Linked DNA regions of Styela clava. The protein of the gene in region 1 interacts with the protein of each later gene in a biochemical or structural test. Links are inferred from orthologs where the notes say so. Each region holds a gene or a part of one and is shown in the gene's direction. Other genes may lie near its edges.

Evidence for each region.
Region 2: the proteins of trifunctional enzyme subunit alpha, mitochondrial-like (region 1) and trifunctional enzyme subunit beta, mitochondrial-like are reported together in a solved structure, tested with the Homo sapiens proteins (2 studies listed by IntAct, with this or other methods). The link is inferred for Styela clava from reciprocal best matches to the Homo sapiens genes HADHA and HADHB.

The regions. Positions count from the first base shown.
Region 1 is NC_135264.1:2,096,185-2,100,119, reverse strand, and holds the start of trifunctional enzyme subunit alpha, mitochondrial-like, read left to right. Parts: upstream 1-1,535; 5' UTR 1,536-1,657; coding exon 1,658-1,733; intron 1,734-2,228; coding exon 2,229-2,270; intron 2,271-3,271; coding exon 3,272-3,339; intron 3,340-3,935. UniProt on the Homo sapiens protein: Mitochondrial trifunctional enzyme catalyzes the last three of the four reactions of the mitochondrial beta-oxidation pathway.
Region 2 is NC_135264.1:2,222,040-2,225,974, forward strand, and holds the start of trifunctional enzyme subunit beta, mitochondrial-like, read left to right. Parts: upstream 1-1,330; 5' UTR 1,331-1,449; coding exon 1,450-1,510; intron 1,511-2,342; coding exon 2,343-2,478; intron 2,479-2,891; coding exon 2,892-3,006; intron 3,007-3,214; coding exon 3,215-3,332; intron 3,333-3,852; coding exon 3,853-3,935. Other genes in the region: peroxisomal ATPase PEX1-like, read left to right, coding at 1-537. UniProt on the Homo sapiens protein: Mitochondrial trifunctional enzyme catalyzes the last three of the four reactions of the mitochondrial beta-oxidation pathway.

The DNA.
Region 1 (3,935 bases):
CTGATATGTCAGTTTAAATAATTCGTAACCGTTAACAATCTAAAATCGGTTAACCAATAAATCATTCCAAGCCCTACTTCAAACGAGCTGAATCCTAAAATGAAAAAAATATCTCATAAACGGGTTGATTCCGATGATGCCATTTTCGAGTAACATTTCGAGGCTGACAGTTTTTCTACGTGGATAGTCGTGAGCTGTTATCCGTGTGATCCAAACTAGAGCATTGCCAGACGAGAGACGACCCTGAAACGCCGATTATGTCATGATTCTTGTTTCCCAGGGAGCACGGCCGCAATTGCCCTGCATTCGGGGATAATAATACCTCGACACTTGTCACGGTCTCTGAAGCGATGTTTTGAATTGATATAGGCCTACCGCTCAACAGGGCTGCCACTTTTGTCTGAATAAAAACATCTAGTTTGACCTCAAAAAACATCTAGACTAAAAAACAAAACATTAAAAAATATATAAAATAGGAATTTACTAAAAAAAAATTGTACGTATAATTTATACAATTATATTGCTCTCTCCAGTTTTGTGATAAAAATCCCTTGGATTTCATCTTGGCAGCCCTGCCACTCAGCCGTTTAATTTGAACATTTGCTATTGTCAAGACCTGTTTTTCACGAAGCAGTCGAAAGTTGTATGGTCAACATTGTTGTAAACGTCGCATCCTCGCCAAATATTACATTGAATGTGCACCTGTTGCATGTTCCTGAAGTATAAATATAACTTGGGAATAGGAAATCAGTTATTTGTTTTGGATGGTCAGACTTGTAGCTGACTTTAAAATCAAACATGCGATCGGAAGACTGCCTAAGAGTCGCTGGGCCAGAAGTACCGGTATACGAAACGACCAGTGAGAAACAAACCCGGAACTTTATTCCGATTGAAAAGATACGCAAAACATAAAAAAGGTTTATAGGCTAACGAGTGTTGTGTAGCCATCGCTTGTGTTCATTCACTCACACAAGTGACAAGAAAAATCCCACGACACCCTCACTGAAGCGAAAGAATAAAGTCAACCGGCATATATGAGTACGTGAAAATAAAATTCACGGCGAAGTTTCCTTGTAAAAAATTCTGGTGAGCGCAAGGGGTTAGAACGAGAATTATGTGACGATGCCAGTGGCAATATGCGAATTCTAATTATAACATAGTGATAAGCTTCTGTTTAGATTAGTAAACAAAAAGAAAGAAATAAACAACAAAAGTTAAAATTCAATATTAGTTTGGGCGCTGCTTCTTGTGGGGCAACTAGCAGAACAATGCAGTTTCGAAATGTGACATTGCGCAAAGGTAATGGTAACCTTTGGACTTTACACTTAAAAAATTCTTCTCCATAATGAAACATCTTATAAATATATCGTATATTTATTATTTTATATTTTGATTTAATTAAAGATACGATTTCTTAGACTAATCTTAAAATAGGAAACGGTAAGATAAGACAGTATTTGCTAAGAATATGTTACTCCGTATGACGTAATAATTGCACGCATGACATCATATATGCCGGCTTAACCATTTGACCTTTGGGGATTCGTTGCGAATTGCTTGCGGATTCTTGTGTTTTTTTATATTTGTTGTTGGTTTTTCAGTTTTTCTTCAGTGGTATTTTCTACGATAGTTCGCGAAGATTCCCCAATGCTCCACGATGTCTTCAATTATAAGATGTCTATCCTTAAGTCGAAATACCGTTTTACGAAGAACAGTGGATAGATTTGTAACTGGTAAGATTCTGTATTCATTTGTTGTTTCGCACATTCCTGCATTCTGACTTATTCTAATCTCCCGTATTCTGATATTCAGTATTTCATATTGACAAATGCAGATTACTCAAAGCACTTTATATTCTGATACAATCTGTGGATCTCACTATTACTGGATTGCTGAATTTTCTTTTATTCAACATTCATTAATTTACAAATTAAAATAACATGCATCTGCATCATGGTAGTCCAAAAACTATGGTACTGAATTGATAAATTTTTTTGAAGATTTTGCTTAACACGGTAATAAGTCTGTAAGTACTGAAATAAGTGGACTAATGTGGTTATGCTAACTGTTTCCTCTATCAGACCAATTAAATAATATTTCTATATTAACATATACCGGTATATCACCACACCTGTCTGCCTGTATACAGGTATATTTTTAGTGTATGTCTCTATGTGATATATGCCATGATTTGGAGCACATGTATAATTTCTACTTTATATTTCCAGGTTCAGCAAATAGATATCTGTCAACCTCATCCCAAATGAATGGTGAGATAACTTATCGAATCTGGTTGATTTAACCCCAGACAAGAAGTTTATTCAGTAGGGCACGGTTCCCCAAACAAACCCAAGATTTTACGATATTTTGTTCAATAAAACAAAAAGTCTATTTGTTCCTGAAACGAGGGCGTCTGGCACAACTGCAGATGGGTCAGATTACGCCATGCTTTTCTCTGTAATAATCTAAATTAATCGCGGCCTCCATGTGAGAAAAATTTGGGCATTATGGTAAAAAAAATTTCCTTCGGTAAATTGGATTATATTTTTCGAGCAATCCCGATTGCGCTTCCTTTGATTTTAGTTTATTGCACAAGGTTGGTTTGTCGATACTGATATGGAGACCCACACTGTCTCGTAAAGAAGGGATTTGTACTGGCTATTATAATTGATTTCTTCAATGTGGGGGTTATTCTTGGAATCGGAAAACTGTGCTGTACTGTATTATTCTTACAACTATTCACTCAAATGTTATATTCTTGATTGTCTTGAAATATGTAGGCCAAACATGGAAATTGCATTGGAAACTTAAGTATGCCAGTGTGGTGTTCTTGCATTTGAAAGGTATTATTTTCGGGTCTCCTGAAGTACTTCTAGTTGGCCTGGCTCAACAAATTTTGCATATCACATTCCAAACCCCTACCTGACTACGCCATTCAAAAATCTCATCACTGCGAAGTCGCAGTGCCGTAATACGGCCCTCAAAGTATACGAATGGTCACGCAGACAGTCATTCAGAATTGAGCAAGCTATTTCTCTCGTTTTTCTCGACATAACGATATCGTTAAGAGAGAGATTGCTGACATTAGTGAGTTCATTATAGTCGGTTCAAATGCCATTTTGGACAATTGTAGCTATACTTTAGCAAGCGTACATCTGGAGACCCTTACTTTTGACATGCAGATTGCTAAATTTTTTTTTCAATTCAAACATTTTGGCAGTGATTATATTATATGTCATATTATGTATGCTTGTAAATGCTGTTTTTGCAGGTAAACACATCACTTTTGAAGTTCAAAATGACGTTGCTATATTACGGCTTGATTCACAAGATGCCAAGGTTTGTGTGATAAAATACTATGAATACAATACTAAAAACCCGATATACCCTGTATTGGAGAATGAAAATTTCCTTACTATGGAACTACCAAATATCATGTGCAGTTACGGTAACTAACTATTGGGGTCAGGGGTGAAGTGAACACCTCCCTAATCTAAATCCCAAAATATGAATTGAGAGATTTAGATTTTAAATTGCGTCGAATATATATATATACTTGTTTTATTCATCATCATGTATTTATTAAAGCATCTGAATATTACCTCTTTCATTTTGGATCATGCTGGGGACATGGTGTGAAATCACAATGCCTTCATCTCAGGAGGTTCGTTTTGACCTTTCCATTGAGATTTTTTGGTATAACCACCACCATGAAATAATATCTGTTCAAATGCATTTAACACTTTTGAATGTGTGTATTTCTGTAAGGTTTCGTCTGACCAAAGACTGACTTTCTCAGATGAGCTTGAAACGTTACAGAAATACATTTGTATTAGTGTGCAGCAAGACTCTTGAATTGCACAGTGTAGTCGTAGTATTCCTGCTTCAACATCATTGCATAATACGCATTCGGATCCATTTGCATAAAGGCATAG
Region 2 (3,935 bases), about 130 kb from region 1:
TCAGATTTCACAAAAACAGCGAAAAATTTAGTCAAATCTATTGAAAATGGCTCAACCAATAAAACAAATTCAAAGAGTAATGAGTATAAAATTTGTTATGGTTTATCGTCACCAGAATACAGCTCTAGTGACTTACACCAGTTAGATGACCGAAGTTCTCACAGTAAAAAGTCTTCAATGCGCGGAATTTACTTCCCTTCTTTATATTCAAAAATGGAAGAAGGTAAATTACCTGAACAGATTCGTCAAATTATTGAAACAGTGTCAGATCGCAATTGTGATGAAACGAAAATATCTTTTGATGGAACTGACTCTGAGCAAGGACAAATTTCAAGGTTAGCAGTTTCGAATCAAGATATCGAGAATGCTTTGGAATCTGCAGGTCCTTCTGTGTCAAGTACAGAGCGTCAGAAATATATCGAAATTTGCCAGAACTTTACTGGGAAATCGTTGAATAATTTGGAATCTAATGATACGGATCTTCCAAATTCGACCTTATGGGATCTGCGAAGACAACAAAGAGCAACATTAGCATAATAATTTATTTTTGCTACAGTTCAACACAGTAATATTGAAATCTGAAATATTGGATGTGTGCTAGATTGTCCCATGTTCAAAACTAATATAACCTTGTATTGATTTTGATAATACAGGAATATTATGATTTTATAAAATAAAACCAATTTTTAATAAATATATTGACTTGGTTTGATTCGTAACATTGGTGCTTTTGTTGACTTTTACTCTAGAATTCCGATCAGTTAGTTATTAAGATACAGGCATTTGTTGCATAAGCATGACATTGTTGGTGCATATATGACCATACGTGATTATAAAATATTTTCTAGTTTAAAATAATCCAATCTATTGTCATCTTTGTAAAATTTGAAAAGAAAAGTCAATTAATTACAAACTTTTGATTCTTGGCAAATTGGTGCCAATTTGAGTTTTGTTTGTATTGAATTATTTTATCAAATGTTTATGTCCTTATTCTGCGAATCATTTGTACCTTATTTGGTACTCCCAAAGTATGTGATCCAAGATGGCAGACACCGGAAAGTAGCATGTGTACCAGGTTAGAGTTGGACCATAATTTTATTCCAATTTTCCTTATTACATACTACGTTCCGGTGTTCGCCATCTTGGTTCACATACTTCGGGAGTACCCCTTTTTTAGTACCAAGTTCAAATTTATCAGTGAAAATCATACATGTGCATAATTTTATTCTCCTTCGTTATTAAGTGTTGATGTTAAGACTTTTTGAATGATCTATTGTAATCTTACTTCGAGCAGCTTCATGCTGAAAAATTTCATAATTTATGCAATCATGTCTTTTTATTAAGTTTGAAAAAAATGAGTGGATTAATTTATTATAATCATAATTTATTCATTTCTCTATTTTAGTTTAAGTTCCAATCTAGTTCTATTGTAGGATAATTTTAAACAAAATGGCTGGCATAGGAAGAACACTCAATAAAGCAAATCTCAACAAAGTGCCGTTTTTTCAAGGTAGGAGTTTTATTTGAAATGTTATTGTGCCACCCTCTTTTTTATATGACTTATTCATGTTTTTTGCTATAAACAAGGCCCTACACAAGTAGCCACTGTAACTGTAAGGAACTACTATGATTTGGACGACATGAATCTTTCGGGTTCAGCATTTTCTCAAATTTTTACACCCTGGGTGAGGTGTTGGGCATGGAATTTGAACCCAATGAACTACAATATGATCATCATAGTTCAGTCCTAAAGCCTTGCATAGGGGTGTGCAACCTGCGGCCCACGAGGAAAAATTGTGCGGCCAGCGATGAAGTGCCAATTTTAAATGGTGTGCGGCCAGCGAGAGGAGTTTTTAATTTAATTTAGTATGTGTGAGAAATTCCAATTCTTTTGCATTGCAAAGCCTATTCCTGAGTCCAATACCTGAGATTTTGCGAACAACGCATGTCATAAGATCAATTACCAAAGTTTTTGTGTCTGCAACTACTAAAAAACCTTTGTTAAATCAGATCCAGTTATTCATATCTAGCCTTCCAGCCAGTATTAAAGGTTGCACACCCCTGCCTTAGTTAAAATACATATATTTTTACATGCGTTATTCATATCTTTTTATGCAAGATCCCTCAGATTGAAACCAAGTGCACTCAACTAACAGCGGAGGGTTGCGACTTGCGACTATGAAATGTCATATAAACTAATTTGTTGCAATGGAGATATCGATATACATATCAGTCCTATTTTCATATGGAAGACTGCTTATTTTTCTACCCTTCTCAACTTCGACATAGACTATATTACTAGATTTAATACAAGCTTTATTATATTTGTTTTTTTTTGACAGTTTCAGCAAGATGTTTTGGATGTTCAATTCACATAGCAGCTGCGGCAAAATCAAAGAAAACATTGTCACAAAGTGGGAAACCAAATATTGTATTAGTTGAAGGAGTTCGAACACCTTTTTTAATGTCAGGAACTCAGTAAGTATAATTGTAACATATTTTATACGATCCATTTACTAGTCCAGAATGTTTAAATAGATAGGTTATATATTATTATTATTGTAGAAAAATTGCCCATCTCTGCAACTGATGCCCCACAGGAATGAACGATTACAAATTTTTATCACTCACAGATGGGTAGTGACACTAAAAAGCTTTTTATTTTTTTTCAAATTTTCTCGGAGACCCATGCGACCCAATATTTCACCCAGTTTTTCCGCCAATCTTTCATGTCCTTAAGATATCTTTTAAGATATCTCTCCTGTTACTCATAATAAACCCCTTATAAAGTGTTAGCAAGAGGTGCTACTGCAAGCATAGTCTTAATACTTAGCATGATGCTCTAACTGTCAAGCCAAACTACAAGTTACAATTGCTATCATTTTATCCAGATATAAAAATCTCATGCCTCATGACCTTGCAAGGGAAGCGATGCTCGGATTGCTGAAAAGAACTGGAATTTCTACGACTGATGTTGATTACATTACAGTAGGAACAGTAATTCAGGTAATTAATGGCTAGAATGCAAAGTCTATACTTGGTACTCAGAATATTTTCGATATTTTTCAAAATTCTTCCTGTTTAAATAAATTTCAAAGATTTTGTCGCAAGATTTTCATCTTTTACAATGTTCCTAATTTTAATATTACTTTTCAGCAAATAAGTCTGTAATAACAGGTACTAACAGATACTAAATAACAGATTTATATTGCAGGAAGCAAAAACTCCTAATATAGCAAGAGAAGCAGCTCTTGGTGCAGGATTCTCTAACAAAATTCCAGCACATACTGTATCACAAGCTTGCATTTCATCCAATCAAGCTATAACAACAGGTATATTAGTCATGTGATTCAAAGCAGTATTGGAACAAAGACCTTGATTTTCTGTATCATACACACCAATTTTTCATAGATTGAAGTACTTTTTGGACACTTTTCCGGCCGCCTGACTCATACGGTTCAACTTGGCAATTAGAAATTTTCAGATCCCTCTCTCTTTGAATATTCCTGGCTACGCTACGCCACTGTCTCTCGTTGAGATAAGTCTCACTGTCGATTAGCTGAGTACAAGTCGTTTCATTTAGATGGCTTGAGTAACTTTGATAGCCTTCAATAAATTGTAATTAGAGTGCCAATCAAGTCCTCTCAAACACTGATTCATGGATTTTACTCTCTTCAACTGCTGTTGACCCTCTAAAATTACTAGGTAACCCACCAGATTTTTATCAAAATTTTTTATATACCTGAAGTCAGCTACATAAGTCTAATATCACGAAAGCGCGTTCTAACAACCTATTGGTATATTTGAAATTATTATTCTAATATACGAAATTTAAAAAATATTCTATTCCAGCGATTGGCCTTATTGCTAGCGGTCAATGTCAAGCGGTCGTAGCTGGTGGAGTCGACTTTATGTCTGATGTTCCGATAAGATTC